Drosophila melanogaster: one gene and its partner. The protein of the gene in region 1 purifies or fractionates together with the protein of each later gene. This does not show direct contact. Each region holds a gene or a part of one and is shown on either strand. Other genes may lie near its edges.

Region 1 (8,233 bases):
CGTGCGTCGACGAAGATGGATGAAGCGATGTCGTCTTAGCAGCAGCGGACCATGGCAGGAGCTTAGTCAGTCCAAAATCCTTGATGCTGCCCTGCAGGTATGGTTCTACTTAAAAAATTCTCAACATGGTTGTTTTTTAAACATTTTCCTACTAGGTATTGGATGAAGATGTGGATCACAGCTGTTCGGGTGAGAGAAACACAGCAGTGGCTGCCTGGGCGATTGCCTCCAATGGTGATGTCCTCATCCGGCATGGTGTATGCAGCTTAAACCCTCGTGGCGATGCCTGGGAGCACATAACCAGCGACCAGCCGTTAGTTGGGATCAGCGTGGGGCCCACAGGTCAGGTGTGGACTGTGGCGCGCAACGGCATGGTGTTCTTCCGGTATGGCATCAGCAGGCAGAATCCGTGCGGCGATGCCTGGCAACAAGTGGAGGCACCCGCGGGTGTGACCTTTAAAGCGATAAGCGTGGGTCGGGCTGGGATTTGGGCGCTGGACAACCAGCAACGTTTGGCTGTGCGTAAGGAGATTTCGAGGACTTTCCCTGAGGGCTCCCACTGGCAGTTTCTGCCCAATGCCGCCAATGTGCCACCGCACACGGATCAGCATTGTGGCTTCCGCTCGGTGTCCGTGGGCTCCGAGGTGTGGGCCATCTCCCTCAATGGTATCATTTGCAGGCGCTGCGGAATTACAGAGGAAAATCCTGCAGGCGTAGGATGGAACCTTGGCATTGCGGTATGCAATCTAAACATTGGGTTGGTTGAATTTATAATTAAAAAAAAATACCCTCTCCATTTCAGGGCCAATGGCAAAATGTCTCTGTCGAAGGATATATGTGATGGAGTTGAATACTTTATTTGTGCATTCCTATTTACTTACGGACGATCCTGTTTGTTGTATTTATTCATATTTACAAGCTTATATGTGACCATGCCAACGCTTTTTCCAAAGTATATGAAAATAAGATGTTTCCTATTTAAGCTATTTGAAACGTATTATTTACACATATTTATTTATAATTTATAATAATAATTTATAAAAGTATGTATCTAAGTCAAATGTTTAGTTTAAGTCTTTTGTTTAGTTTAACAAATCCAGCAGCCGTGATTGTATTTCCTTTTTGTAAGCAAATATATAATGAATTACGAGAATAAATATATGTATGTGATGAAAGATGAAATATGTCTTATCTCTCACAGATCAAAAATCATTTGATTTTAATTTTTTTACCAAGTTAATGAATGGTTTGAGTCCGTACTTTTTAAAATGTACGCTTACAGTATTTTATTGGTAAGATATCGATAGCCGATAGACCAGCTCATCTGCGATGTTGTATCGCATGTTTGTTTATTGTGTTGTAAACCAAAACTATATCAACAATTTACCTATTTTGTGACGATGTCAGACTACGATCATGCACGCATTAAGAAATTGGTTCTAAAAGGCGAGAAACTCAAGTATGTAACTACAAATCTGCCAATAGCATCAATTGAAATTCTCGATTTGTAGAAAGAGCAAAAAACGCAAGAAGGAAAAGGATGAGGCTGGATCTTCCAAAAAGGCCAAGGTAGTAGTGGATGAGGATGCCGTGAAGCACGGCGGTTGGTGGGCAGCAAAGACAGCGGCCGACATCACCGGTACAGTGTCCATAGAGTTTGGCGATAGGAGTTACCTAAAGGCCATGGACAATGGGTAATAGTGAAAAAGATCTGCCCATTGGTACTTTAATTATACCGGGTGTCCATTAACATTTTAGTCTCTTCACATTGGGAGCACCACACAACGCTGGCGATGGCCCAGATCCCGAGGAGATTTTCACGGCTTTTCCCATCAACGACCGAAAGGTAGCGTTTAAGTCTGGCTATGGCAAGTACTTGAAAATTGAGAAGGATGGAATGGTCACGGGGCGCTCCGAAGCAGTGGGCGGCATGGAGCAGTGGGAGCCGGTTTTTGAGGTAAGTCTTACCTATATACAAATGTTTTGAAACGATAAAACTAATCAACGTAATTAAAGGAACAACGAATGGCTCTTCTATCCGAAACCGGACACTTTATGTCGATCGATCCCCAAGACGACGCCTGCGTGGCATTGCGAAAGAAGGTGGGTCAGCATGAGATCTGTAAAGTGCGGAGTAATGCGAGCAGGGATGTGGTCATCGATACGGAGCCCAAGGAAGAAAAGGGAGACTTGGGCGAAGTCGAGAAGAACTATGTGTAAGTTCAGCTGATGATTATGATTTATAGGACTTAAAAAGGTTGAATTCCGCGTTACCCATTTCAAATTTCGAACCTTTCGCATTTTTTAGGAAAAAATTTCAAAAGTTCCAGGACAAGAAGATGCGGATTAATCAGAACGATGTCAAAGAACTCGAGCAGGCAAAAGCTCAGGGATCTTTGCATGAAACTCTTCTGGATAGACGCAGTAAAATGAAAGCCGATCGGTATTGCAAGTAAACCGACGCGAAGTGTTCATCATTCATTAAAAAAAGTTACCTCTAAAATAAGGTACGGGTTTTATTTTTATAAATATATATGTATATTTATTGGTATCTGAAAATATCTGAATACTTATTGGTTTAAATATTTAAAAGCAATATATTTCGTTCAGGCTTTCAAGCTTAGGCTTTTAAATAACAAATGATAGGTAAACTGTGTTCATATTCATAGTTTCAAGCAGAATCAGTATTTACCTAGTTAATTTCCCAGTTTACAACCAAAATTCAATATCAATCTATGTAGGCAGCACACAGATTTGAGCATGCAGATGCGGGATTTAAGCTGGCCAAGAGTTCAACTGGCCGGCAACAGCCTTTCCACCCCCTTTCGCCCGCCTTGCTGTAGTAAAACTAGCAGCAGACGGCGTCACAACATGACAATTCGCGCTGGATGTCCTCCACACCACCCAACTACTTCAGCCACCCCCTCGTCGGGTGGGAAATCAACCACCATGCGTTGCATCCTTGGTGCCCGTGCCCGCTCTCATCTCGGTCTCTCGCCCGCTCTCTCGGCGCAGTCCTCACACCATCGTTGGCGTGCGCCTCTCGCTTTTTCCACGAGGAGTCCGCTTGAAGTGCCGAATCCGGTTCACGTCCTGGTGGCTCGTGCTCGTCTGTGCGCTCGTGGCTTTATTTTGGCTCTGGCCGGTGGCTCAAAGTCGCGTGGCAATCAGTTTGCTGCCGTCTGTGTTCGTGGGTGAAAGTCCGCACCGCTTGGCTGTTCGGATTTTTTGCCGCATCTCGTAGATACTTCATATGGAAAACGCTTCTATCGGTTGGAATTGTATCTCGTGAATTGTGCCGCCGCCGTCAAGTTACACTTGAAAATTGTCAAAATTGAATTCACCGAACGTTAGTGAACAAAGGTCCTCCAAATGGCCATAACGAGTGCTGCGGTCTTTGTCTCGATTCGGTTTTCAAACCAAACTACTGGCGTTGCCGGGTTAAGTCAAAAGGTTCTGTAGATATACTTAAGTGCTCAGTGAACTACTCATCAACAGAATAATCGTGTAGTGCAACTGCATATATCATCCTGCTCTTTGGTGAGTGAAGTGATCTCATTGCAGTTATTATATTCTCTTTATACGACTGTCTGGTCTGGTCTGGTTTTGTTTCCCGCTCTCGTTTTTCGGTGGTGTTTCGAAAATTGCAGGCGATTCGGGGTGTTTTTTCAAACTGCCGCCGACGACAGGTATGGGATAATCAATTCCAAGGAAAACTAGAATCAACAAGGCTGCAATTTTATTCAAAAGTGTGGGACCACAGAAATCCTTTTGAGAAATATATAAATCTCGTTCTCGGGCATAAATCTAATTGAACTCAATGATTTACCATTCGAGTAAGTTGCGTGTGAAAAGCTCATACATTTGCAGATATGCAAAGGAAGGCGGAGTTAAATACTTTGGGAGATCGATATAAGAAGGAAATGGCTATTAGTCACTACGATTTGCTATAAAAGAGGATGTTATTTTAATACAAAACTGTGTTCATGTTATTCCCAAATGTTTTTAATTTGTGACACAGGGGTAAACAAAGTGGGTTGAGTGCACCAAACAATTTCTTATTCCTCAGTACAATTTTCAATCCTTGCGTGCTAACATTACTCAGATTCATAACTATTAAAACAAATGCTCCGGGTGTGATATTAGTGGATCGATAAAGCTAATCTTTTTAATTAGCTTAAGAGGGTATAGTTAGCAGCTCATTATTGATTCTAAAGCACACTGGAGATATGGTTATGCAATTTAAATCCTTGTTATCTGTAATGTATCTGTGAGTATATTTAACTCCAGTTCATTGGAAACAAAACATAAATTTGAATTGGTAACAAATTCCTTGTTTTGTAAACAGGACACATTGGTCTTCTTAAAGGGGCCGATCAACCTCAACATTTAAAATCCATTAAGTTGAATTTCCTTTGAGGGCTTTTCCCCTTTGTCTGGCCTGTTTCTCCTTTGTCAAGCCCAAAAGTGGTCAATTGCCAGGCAGACAGAGGGCGGAAAAGTCGACAATGGAAATCCGTCAGATTTCTTTAATTTCCTCAGCAGTCTTTGACTGCTGAAATGGTTTCCTTTTCAGCCTGTCAATTGATTTGGCTCAAGAATAACGCCATTGGAGGTAAAGAAGTTTGGCTTAAAGCCGTTGCCATTGTGTATGAAGTGTTGAAATTTGAGAAAAAAAAGGGTGTCTCTACTTCGGTTTATCATCATTTGCCCTGAATCCAATACCCTTTTCATACAATATCTAGGGAGCATTTCGAGAGCCAGCTCCAAACAGATTTGCATCAAAGTTGGCAACAAATAGACTGTGACTTGCAGTTGGTTTTAGCAATTACTCTTTTTATATTTTCGGACTTCCTGGTGGCTTTCACACACGAACCCATGCACATTGTACACCGATGCTTTTCTAATTACGTTCATGTACATACAACATGGACATCTGATGTCACAGGTCTTCTTCGTTGCATTCAATTTGACTCGCTTAGAAATGCACCACCTTCCCTGGACTACCTGGGTAAGTAACCACCACCCACACCCAGTTCATGGAGGAACACATGTCATGGTATACCCTGTGGGTACCTGGCGGAAAAGAAAACAGAACAGAACAGAACAAAGTGAGAGACCCAGACTAAATTAATCAGGGGCCAGGTAGCGATTGGAGAGAGCTGGCGGACTTCCTCGGGGGTTGTATCCATACCATGCCGTCCAATCCTACTGCAACAAGCGAGTGAGCCGTGGAAAACAACCCCATGCGGACCTTTATAACTAGGGATTCCCCATATGCTTTCCCTATATTCAAGTGACTGGAAACTAAACTAATGGGTATCTTATATATAAATACACATGTAGCAGGGTCTTAAACATGGTGTAAAACGTATTTCCTTTGATTACCAAATTTTCCGTATAAGCAATACCCATTAAAACTTTTAACCGACCTTTTTTCGGGACTAAAAATGTATCCACAACAGGTAACGTTTCGCTAACTTTTCCAATGTCGGGTAACTAGACTTCAAAATGTAAGGAAAGAGTTTAGAAGGTAAAGTCAGCCAGCCTTTTTGTGGATTTTTGGTAACTTTCTTTGGCAGGCAACTGTGAATATTGGGGATGAAAGTGTAAACAGCTGACGGCGGTCTGAAGTACCTCGTATGCCAAAGTCCTTTCTCACGGGTTAATTTCCTTTCGCAACGCCAACATGCAAACATACAAATGCTTGCAAAAATATTTATTTAGTAACTCGATGACCGTCAGTTGTCTCCAGTTACTCAAGACGATTTGTTGATTAACTCTAAATGGATTTGAAATATTTGCATATTGCACCATTTCCGTTGGATCCTTAAAATCCTTAAATTTCCGCAGGCGGAAAGGGGAATAATCCTTCCTTATATAGTTACTACTGCCTAATGCGAACTGTAATTAAACTGTGTCTGCATAATTTAAGTGCTTAATTTTGCTGAAGCGATTGCTGTGCCGTCGCCAAGTTGAAATGCAAATAAATACTCAAGGCCTACATGAAAACGGCAAAAAAGAGCGAAAGGCAAAGTTTTCTGGATAGCGCCTGCCTCGCAACTCCAGTGGCGCACGCATTCCGCCTCCGGAAAAGTATTTGTAACAGTGTTTAAACTCACATAGCCCTCCGTGGTTTGCGAACTATTAAAAAGTGAACCGAGTTCTTGGGCGGTGGGCGGTGGTGCGGGTAGGTCGGCCAGCACTTGGAAATGTGGGCGGTGCGGTGCTGGGATGATTATCCAAGTTTTAGCATTCTTTCTGGCTCGGCATTCGGCTCTCCAACGCCATCAAGAGCCACATAGCGCACAGTTATGGGAAAATCTTTTAATTAATTTAAAACTAATTTTCTTGAAAGCCAAGTGAAATGACCTTTGAGTGTGCCGAAAGCAGTGCACATTCTCGGAACGCAATTTAATTTAAATATTTTAGCCAGCTCCGCTTGCTTCACATGCAAATCTAGAACAACACCTCAACTATGAGGCTTTAAACGATATGCAATCTTGATTAAATCACAAACTTGTAATTCATGTAGTTTGCATCTCGGTGTTGTGCAACTGCAACCTAATCATATCACACAGATGCTCCCTTTGATCTGAGCGCAAAAAGTTCGCCAAGAGGGGATTTTTCCGGGGCTATAGTCTCGAATGGATGCCAAAGCGACTCTCCGATTGCCCACCACTTTGAGGATTCGACAGGCATTCAAATGCCTTCCCCTCATCCAATCCCCCATCCCAGCACCCGGTGAAAGTGGATTAGCAATTTGTTAAGCCAACAATTTACCCAGCTCCGTGGGGCTTCACTTCGTCGAGTTGTTTGCATTTGTCAGGACCATGCTGTTCTTTTCTGCAGTTCCTGCAGCGGAAGGATATCCGATGACCCTGCCGAATGCCGCCTAGGGATCCATGTACAGGAAACGAAATGAGGATATTATCCAACGAATTATATGAATAATGGTATGCAATGTTAGTTAAATGCCGAGCAAAACTGAAATGATAGATACATTTTAAATTTTTAAACTTAATATACAATTCCACGGTAAATTATATAAATTTTTAATAACGATTTTAAAATTCCTTTTAGATATGCTTGTAAAATTATAAGTTTGCTACTTGAAAGTTCATAGCTCATCGAATACTTATAGTAAGCACAAATGAAACATTAAAATAAGTTGGATATCATCTGAGTGTTAGTGTTGTAAGTATTCTTAACTTAACTATAATTGAATAGCATCAAAAGAATCTAAGATAGGACTATTTATATTTTTTTTCCCTGTGTACCATCAACCTTTTGCGCGGCTTCTCAGTCTCTCACTTTGTGTTTAATTGTAATTTTAACTTTTGCCATTTAAGTGTCTATTGTGTGCCATCTGGAGCGACTTGTCTGCACCGCCGGCGAAGCCTTTTCCGCTCATTCTGTCACGCAGTGTTTGCCGTTCGTAAATGTTTTTAGTTCGGCTAAATGCAATTGTGGCCACTTCTTGCACTCCCTGCACTTCCTGCCAACGCACGTGGCCCACTCGACTGCCTTCAATTGCCAGACGGGGCGTATACGCAATTTAAAGAGCTCTTTAAGTATGAGTGCGATAATTGTCGCTTTAATTATCAAACGAAATAACGAAATAAGCTGCTCAAATTGGGTATTGCATAATATTTATTTATCAAAAATAAAATAAATCGCAAAGCCTTTCAAAGTCGTGATTGGATTACATCTAATGCTTATAATAAACGTTAGTCGTAGCTACTATAAAACATTTGTTTCCACATGTACTTAAAATGAGATTTATATGAAAGCAGATTATGTTTAACTTTCGACCAAAAGTACTAGGCTTTATATCCGCAAAAAGGTGAAAATAATAACAATACTCTGCCACAGCTTATGATGCCTGTAAAGTCGACAATTTATGAGCATTGAGTTCGAGTCACCTAGGTTTTTAATTTTCTGCTAAACGCATGGAAGGACTCACATATGCAATTACGCGCACAATGGTCTCATGGTTTCATTTGCGATTTATGCGAGAATGGAACTCGTCCGTCGCGACGGAAACGGAATAATTTCCCATTTCCGGTGTGTGCCAACAAGAAAACTCAAAACACACGCGCGCTTCCCTGTGTCTGGGTGTGTGTGTTCGTATGTGTGAGTGTCTTCTTTCAAACAAGGCGAATAATCACAGAACAGGTACAATAACACTCGACATTTGGGGGAATAAGGAAGCTGGAGGACTCCCATTCCG
Region 2 (6,492 bases), on another chromosome or scaffold:
GCAGCCATATCCTGGATATATCCGTATACGTACTTCGCGGGTGTTGATAAAGTGCGGCGATCTTCCCACAGAAGACTTGTATCTGAAAAAGTTCAGACCCTGGGGACGGTTTTCCAGTTCGCGATCATTAAGGCTATAGATAGCGAAACCAATGGTCAGACACTCCATTCCCATATTGCGCTTCGATCTGCGATTCTTTTGCATTAAGGCCACGATGACGGTGCACTGTCCCTCTTCGTCTTCCTCATCAGGATCGACTAGGGTGATAATATACTGGGGGTTGTGCCAGAAGGTATCCAGGAAATTGCGGCAACCACCAGCTGTAACACCGGGTGTCCATTCTCCCTCATACATGGACATCTCCCACTTTCGCTTGCCACTGTTTTGTTGGTCCTCGGTCAGTGAGTCCGGCGACAAATTGCAAATCTGAACAAAATCATGGCGAATGAATCATGAAATATTTCACCAAGAAATATTAATAGTCCTACCTCCACGCGATCGAAGTGGTTAAGAAAATCTTGGAAGGACATCCAGAACTCTCCGTCTCTGTCGAATGTTAGTCCAATCTCCGCCTTCTGTTCCTCGGGTATATAGCGCCATTCTGGTGAGCTATCACTCCATGGTCCATTCCACTCGGCTTCATTGCCCCAAGGATTTCGCATTCTTATCATAGGGATCTTTCCCTGACGATTTGGCGTTACTATGTCAATAAGGCAAACCTGTTGACATAAGATTAATTAATAAAATGTTCTTATCATAGCAATTTTCCGAACAAACCTTGGTTATGGAGTAAGCGTGACCACGGATTAAGCCCTGAGGAGTTTCTGCCTCCGTGACATTTGGATCAGGCTCAATCGAGCATCCCATCATGGAATTGCGTTCAGCTGCTTTTTGCAGAATGGTGAATAGATTGCCGGGTGCTTCTTTTAAATCGTACCACTCGGATACGCCGCCAGTAAAGTCCTCCATGGCCTCGCAAGTGCTGCCTCCCTTTAGTGCCTCGTAGGATCCATGAAGTCTAGAAAGCATATATACATCAGTTGACCATAAAGTATGTGAATAATGTAGTCCTACTTGGCATAAGCCTTCTCCAGCAGGGCGCTCCAGAACTCGTTCTTCTCCGTGGAGTGCATGTACATCAGCTCTCCATTATAAGTGGGCAAACGGTCATCAATGATTACATCAACCCATTTACCTTAAAATTTTAAACTAAAATTGTAAGAAGCGCATGAATAATTTTTTTAATAAATAATTTACCATACTGCCAAAAGCGGAAATGGAAGATACCAGCATAGTTCTCCTCGAAACTCTGTTCCGCTGGAATTACCCGAAAGAAAAGGTTGGATTCCTGAGTTAAATTGGCTGTGGCAGCCAAGAGCCAACTGTAAATGTAAGCATTTATTTAAAACTATTAATTATTCTGGCTGCGGAAATAGAGATTTTGTTCTTACCAGTCACCAAGCTCGCCTTGCTGAACATCAAAACGCGAATAACCCTCCACAAAAAACTGGGGATTCTCGGCAATTTCCTTTATAATTAAAGCATTTATACCTTTAGTTACGGGTAATATGGTAGTATCTAAAACTTACATGAGGTCTCAGCCATTCGATGTGACGATCTGGACGCCGGGAAAACTGAAGAGACTCGTTCGAAGCCGGAAAAAGTGGATCTTCGAAAAGGGAACCACTGGCCAGGCAGCTGTTCAATATTGTCTCATAGTCCTGCACCTCGGAATAGGGTCCCAGGCTCGAGCTCTTCTCTCCCAGCTAAAAAATACATGCTATTAGTGATATGAATCTAACAAAATTGATGAACTTGATTAAGAGTATTATGTATGTACACGATAAAGTTGTGTAATGGAGTTGTATAAACGATGATGCGTTTTACACTTTACATGCGAAAGAAAAAGAACACAAGGACAACACAGTACGACACTTTGGCAGCGCATTATCCTTGGAATGGAATTATGTCAATGCCATTACGATGACGGGAGTAGGTACTTACGTTCCCATAGTACAACGTACTATTACTTTGAGATTGCAATGGTTGCTAATGAGTGGAATGTATATGTATTTGTTAACATGCATATGTAGATTTCAATGGATTGTTTTCTATGTTTGTTTAGTATAGTATAGCGCCCTATAAATAACTGTTGATAACCGTGTGGGTCAACTTACAACTCTCATATTCTTGATGCTGGGCAGAACCCTCTTGGTGTCGGCCTCCTTCTTGATGAAGATCTCGTTGATCACCGATCCGACCACATCCTTGGCCGCTCCCATTGCAGCCTCACCAGCTGCATTGAGGAACTCCTGTCCCGCTTGCCTCAAGAATCCCCTCAAGTCGTCCATCGTGCAGATATCTGAAAATATATGTACATATATAGTTTAATATCAGTTAGCAGTGTAAGGTGCCGCCTCAGATTAAAAACCCATTAATAAATATTTATTGTTCAAACATTTGATGACTAGTTAGCAACATCCAATATTTTTTATATCGCCCATATTTACTTATAAGCCTCGCGGTGGAATTAAAAGCACACCCAGAGACATAAATATGGTTTAACGAGCATTACAGAATCGTTAGTATTCCCAGTGTGACTGGAAGTCGGGCTAAATGAAATTACTTTAATTCACGCAAACTGAAATTATACTTTGGAGACAAGAATGTCTCGGTTCGCACCCAAATATAATTCAAATGTTTCTACATATACAATGCTGTATTTATACATATGTAGCCGCTATATATATATGCTATATTGTGTGACATCATTCGGAAGCATGAGATTCTCTAGTGACTCAAAGGGTGTGCGCCATTCGGGAGATTAAGCTTCGTTTTTTATCCATATTAAGCCGGGATATTGACATTGACCCATGGAACTACTACATATGTACGACACATATAGGGTATATATTTCTGTGACAATAGTAAATTGGCCTTTAATTGGGGCGAAATATGCTAGATTGGCTGACCCATCTGTTATTGTATTTGCGAACATTGGTAATTCTACGGCGAAACCCAAACAGGTTTGGTAATTAATGCATTCTTCTGGCCTGGCTCATTCCCGTGACCACCATATTTTCGTAAAGAATAGTATATTCGTCATAGGCACTTGATATTTCTAATACTATATATATTTGCCCATTTTCCAACGGACCTTGATTGGTCGAGAGAACGATTTCCGAATCGAATCACGCACTTTCACTCCCCAAAATCACAGCACAACAATAAAGTAACGGAACCACGCACCTTCACCGCACGGAGATATTTACTCACTACAAATATTTATATCTGTAGCTCAACACCTGACTGCTATCGAATGTTTTGGTATTTATTTTTATCGAAGTATTTTGCCGAAATTTGTGATTTGCCAGCCCTATTTCAATGTAAATATATCGATAATCGCCCGATTTTACTGAAAAATATTTCGATAAGAGCATCGATATTTCAAACAAATATCGACCCATTGACATGCGTCAGGTTTGTCCATCCCTAACAAAATCGTAGTACGAAATATCGAAAACGAAACACATCACGCGGGCGAAATTTCGTGAAGTTCAGCATTTACAAATTGTAAGCAGTGGTTTTATCGAACCCATTGACCAATTAGTGGGCTTCTAAAATTAGTGATAGACTTTATTAAATGAAACGAGAAAATAGAGGCGAATACACCCGTACAGCAAATTGACCATCGATTTTTTCACGGCATTGCCGGTGACGAGAATGCGACGCCGTTCATACACACACACGCACGGACACGAATGTGTGTATATGGCGCGGCGCTTGTGTGTGAAAGTGTATTCGTATAAATAATATGACATAATCGACGTGTGCGGCTTAATTGACATAGTTTTTGTGCGAAGAATACCTAAAAGTGCGAAGAGAGCGCCAAAAAAGGCGTTTTTTGTTTGTGGTCAAGGTGGCAAAAAGGACTTGCACCGCTATTTTCCCCTGCGCTTTGCTCCAAATATTCGTTCCTCCCCATACACTCTCTCGCACACACACAAGCGTGTATATTTGGGCGTTGCAGGATGAAGAACTCTCTTTCTCTCTCCCACTTTCCTTCGCTCTCTTCTCGTATTCTCTTGAACACTTTTGCGCAATTTGAGTGATTTGCAAGGCAAACTAATGCTTTTCGATTGTTTACCGAATTTAGTTAACCCCGTTTGGAAGCCAGTTTGTCTGGAAGTTACTTCAGTTTAGTTGTTTTCAACATCTCCACTTGACGTTGCCTAACACTGCCCGCCCTCTCTCTCTCGGCTTCTTTGCCACTGTCCGTGCGCAGTTCTCTTTTGCGCTTCATTCGTGCTCTGCCCGTCGGACGTGTCCGTACGATTTTGGATTAAGTTCTCGTAGGCAATTCAACTTGAAATATTTATTCGCTGCGGTGCAACTAAAATTTAATTCAAAGAATTAAAAGTGCTAAGTGCTGTTAGGAGCGGCAATTTTGCAAAAAAAAAAATATTAACAGTTATTTGGTGTAGTGCAAGAAGCCCAAAAGAGAACAAAATTATTTATTTTAAACATATTGCATTCAAGGCAATAAAAAGTTAAATCTATTAAAATTTTCTACCCTCTCCCTCCCCTTTTATTGATAGTCTCCCTCTGTGGCGTATGTGTGTTTGTACGAATTAGCGGCTGAAAACCAAAAACCGAGGTGCGAGAGCGAGAATACATTTATAAAAAACGCGTGCGTTTCTCCTCTAACACATACAGTGAGTGTGACCGTTGTATTTGTGACCTGTGCCTGTGTTAGCGGCCACTGGAGGATCAACGAATTTAAAAGAATACTAAAAGTACCGGTGAGTATTCTTGCATCTACCGGATGATGTGTTATAATCCCGTTAAATAGTGAATGTCCCCTCGTGCCCTGCATTCGTTTTAACCGTTATGACGATGAGCGGCAATTCGGCCGGTGACGCCATCTTTTGTGCTTCTCTAATAAGTGTTGTTTTTGTTTTTTGGGTTTGGTCAAGCTCACGCAACACGGCGTGTGTGAGTGAGTAGTGTGTCTATTTTGTTGTTATGCTTCATAGACAGTGGCGAAACTACAGATTATTATTCAGGGGTCATAAATGTCATTTAAGATCAAGAACATATTATATTTAAATTTATCCGGAAATATGAGCAAATGTTTAAGGTGTAGCACCACATTGACCCCCATTCAGACGCCACTGTTTGAGCTTCTAGTTCTAGCCACTTTTCTTCTCTCTTTCTCTTTTTTCGGGTGGGTGTGATTGTGTGTGCGTGTGCTTTTCCTTTCCATATGATTCATGCTTCTTTCTACCTCCGGCTTTCTATGCGCTTGTCAGATTAAAAAAAAAACCCATTTTCCAATTCTCGTCGCTGATTTTATTCATCTTTTATTTGGCAATTTGTTGCGAATGCCACTTGCAAATCTCTAGCCGTGTGCCTAATGCACTTGGGCAATAAATCCGCCTGCTGGCGCGCATCTGTGGGCAAGTTTCATGACCCACTTTTCCTCCTTGGTCTCTCGCCTTTCAGCAAAGTAAATAGTGAAAAGCAGCAACAAGTGATAAACAGATTTGTAAATATTGAAAACTTGTTTATGCCATTTGTCAGTGCAACCCAATGCCTACAAAATAGACTTTATAGGTATCGGAGGTAGTTCTTGATACTCAGTCAGTTCGATTTTTAAATTTTTTGTTGTCATTCAGAGCCCATCTTGATATTTCTGTAATTTATTGTAATCTTGAACGAATAGGAATTGATAACCTTTTACTTTAATTATTCTTTAACCCAATTCAATGCGCTATGCTTAAATGAAACATTACGCTTATAGAATTTAATATAATTTAAATTAGCAATGTTTCCTATAAAACTTTGTTTTATATATAGCCTTCTATAGATGTTCTTATGCAAGTCATAGGAGTTCGATTGTGTGTGTGCTCTCCCGCAATCTTATCAGAACCTTCGCGCTGGTTACGTTTTCTTGTTAGATTGCTGTTTCTATACAAGTACCTACATATCCACATTACAACAAGCCAACAACATTCCCAATTTAAGTTATAAGGAATTTCTCCTTTGCCACCAACTAACTACCTACCTATTTACAACATTCTTCGATTTCTATTACCTTACTTCCTGTTCTATATACTCATCATATCAAATTCGAGCATTCCATTTGCCTTAGCTACATATTTTGCGATACATGACGTCATTTCGCACACATTGCTTATAAAAAAGGTAAAAAAATAAAATAAAAATTTGCTCTTTTTGTTTGCTGGCTTTTGTTGCTAATTCGAATTTACTCATAGAAATACATGGGCAGTGGGCTTTATTTATTCATTGCTTATGCTGCCTCCCCCTTTATCACCCCTTATCAAGCTTTTCACTTGTTCCTCTTGCTCTGTTGTCCGTTTTCAATTCGCAAATTAGACGTGACTCGTTGGTTGAGGGTTTCAATTGAGGTTTTTTGCACACCGCAAGTTGCATTTAGAGAATTTTCGAAAATCGTTGAGGCATTATTTG

What was found. The genes of interacting proteins can lie anywhere in the genome.
Region 2: the proteins of gogo (region 1) and hts purify together in Drosophila melanogaster (affinity purification with western blotting; one study listed by BioGRID). This does not show direct contact.

What each region holds. Positions count from the first base shown.
Region 1 is NT_037436.4:20,290,068-20,298,300, reverse strand, and holds the start of gogo (golden goal), read left to right. Parts: upstream 1-3,167; 5' UTR 3,168-3,540; intron 3,541-7,148; exon of another isoform or gene 7,149-7,197; intron 7,198-7,352; exon of another isoform or gene 7,353-7,599; intron 7,600-8,233. Other genes in the region: Pex23 (peroxin 23), read left to right, coding at 1-97, 156-737, 803-841; FRG1 (FSHD region gene 1), read left to right, coding at 1,401-1,459, 1,512-1,694, 1,759-1,957, 2,017-2,216, 2,309-2,456.
Region 2 is NT_033778.4:19,421,904-19,428,395, reverse strand, and holds the start of hts (hu li tai shao), read left to right. Parts: upstream 1-3,492; 5' UTR 3,493-3,573; intron 3,574-4,281; exon of another isoform or gene 4,282-4,598; 5' UTR 4,599-4,802; intron 4,803-6,492. Other genes in the region: CalpA (Calpain-A), read right to left, coding at 34-426, 489-719, 778-1,018, 1,075-1,195, 1,258-1,382, 1,452-1,528, 1,590-1,766, 2,005-2,049 and 1 more. UniProt on the Drosophila melanogaster protein: Required for assembling actin at ring canals in developing egg chambers. Probably interacts with other developmental proteins involved in nurse cell/oocyte transport through the ring canals. Important for normal neuromotor function.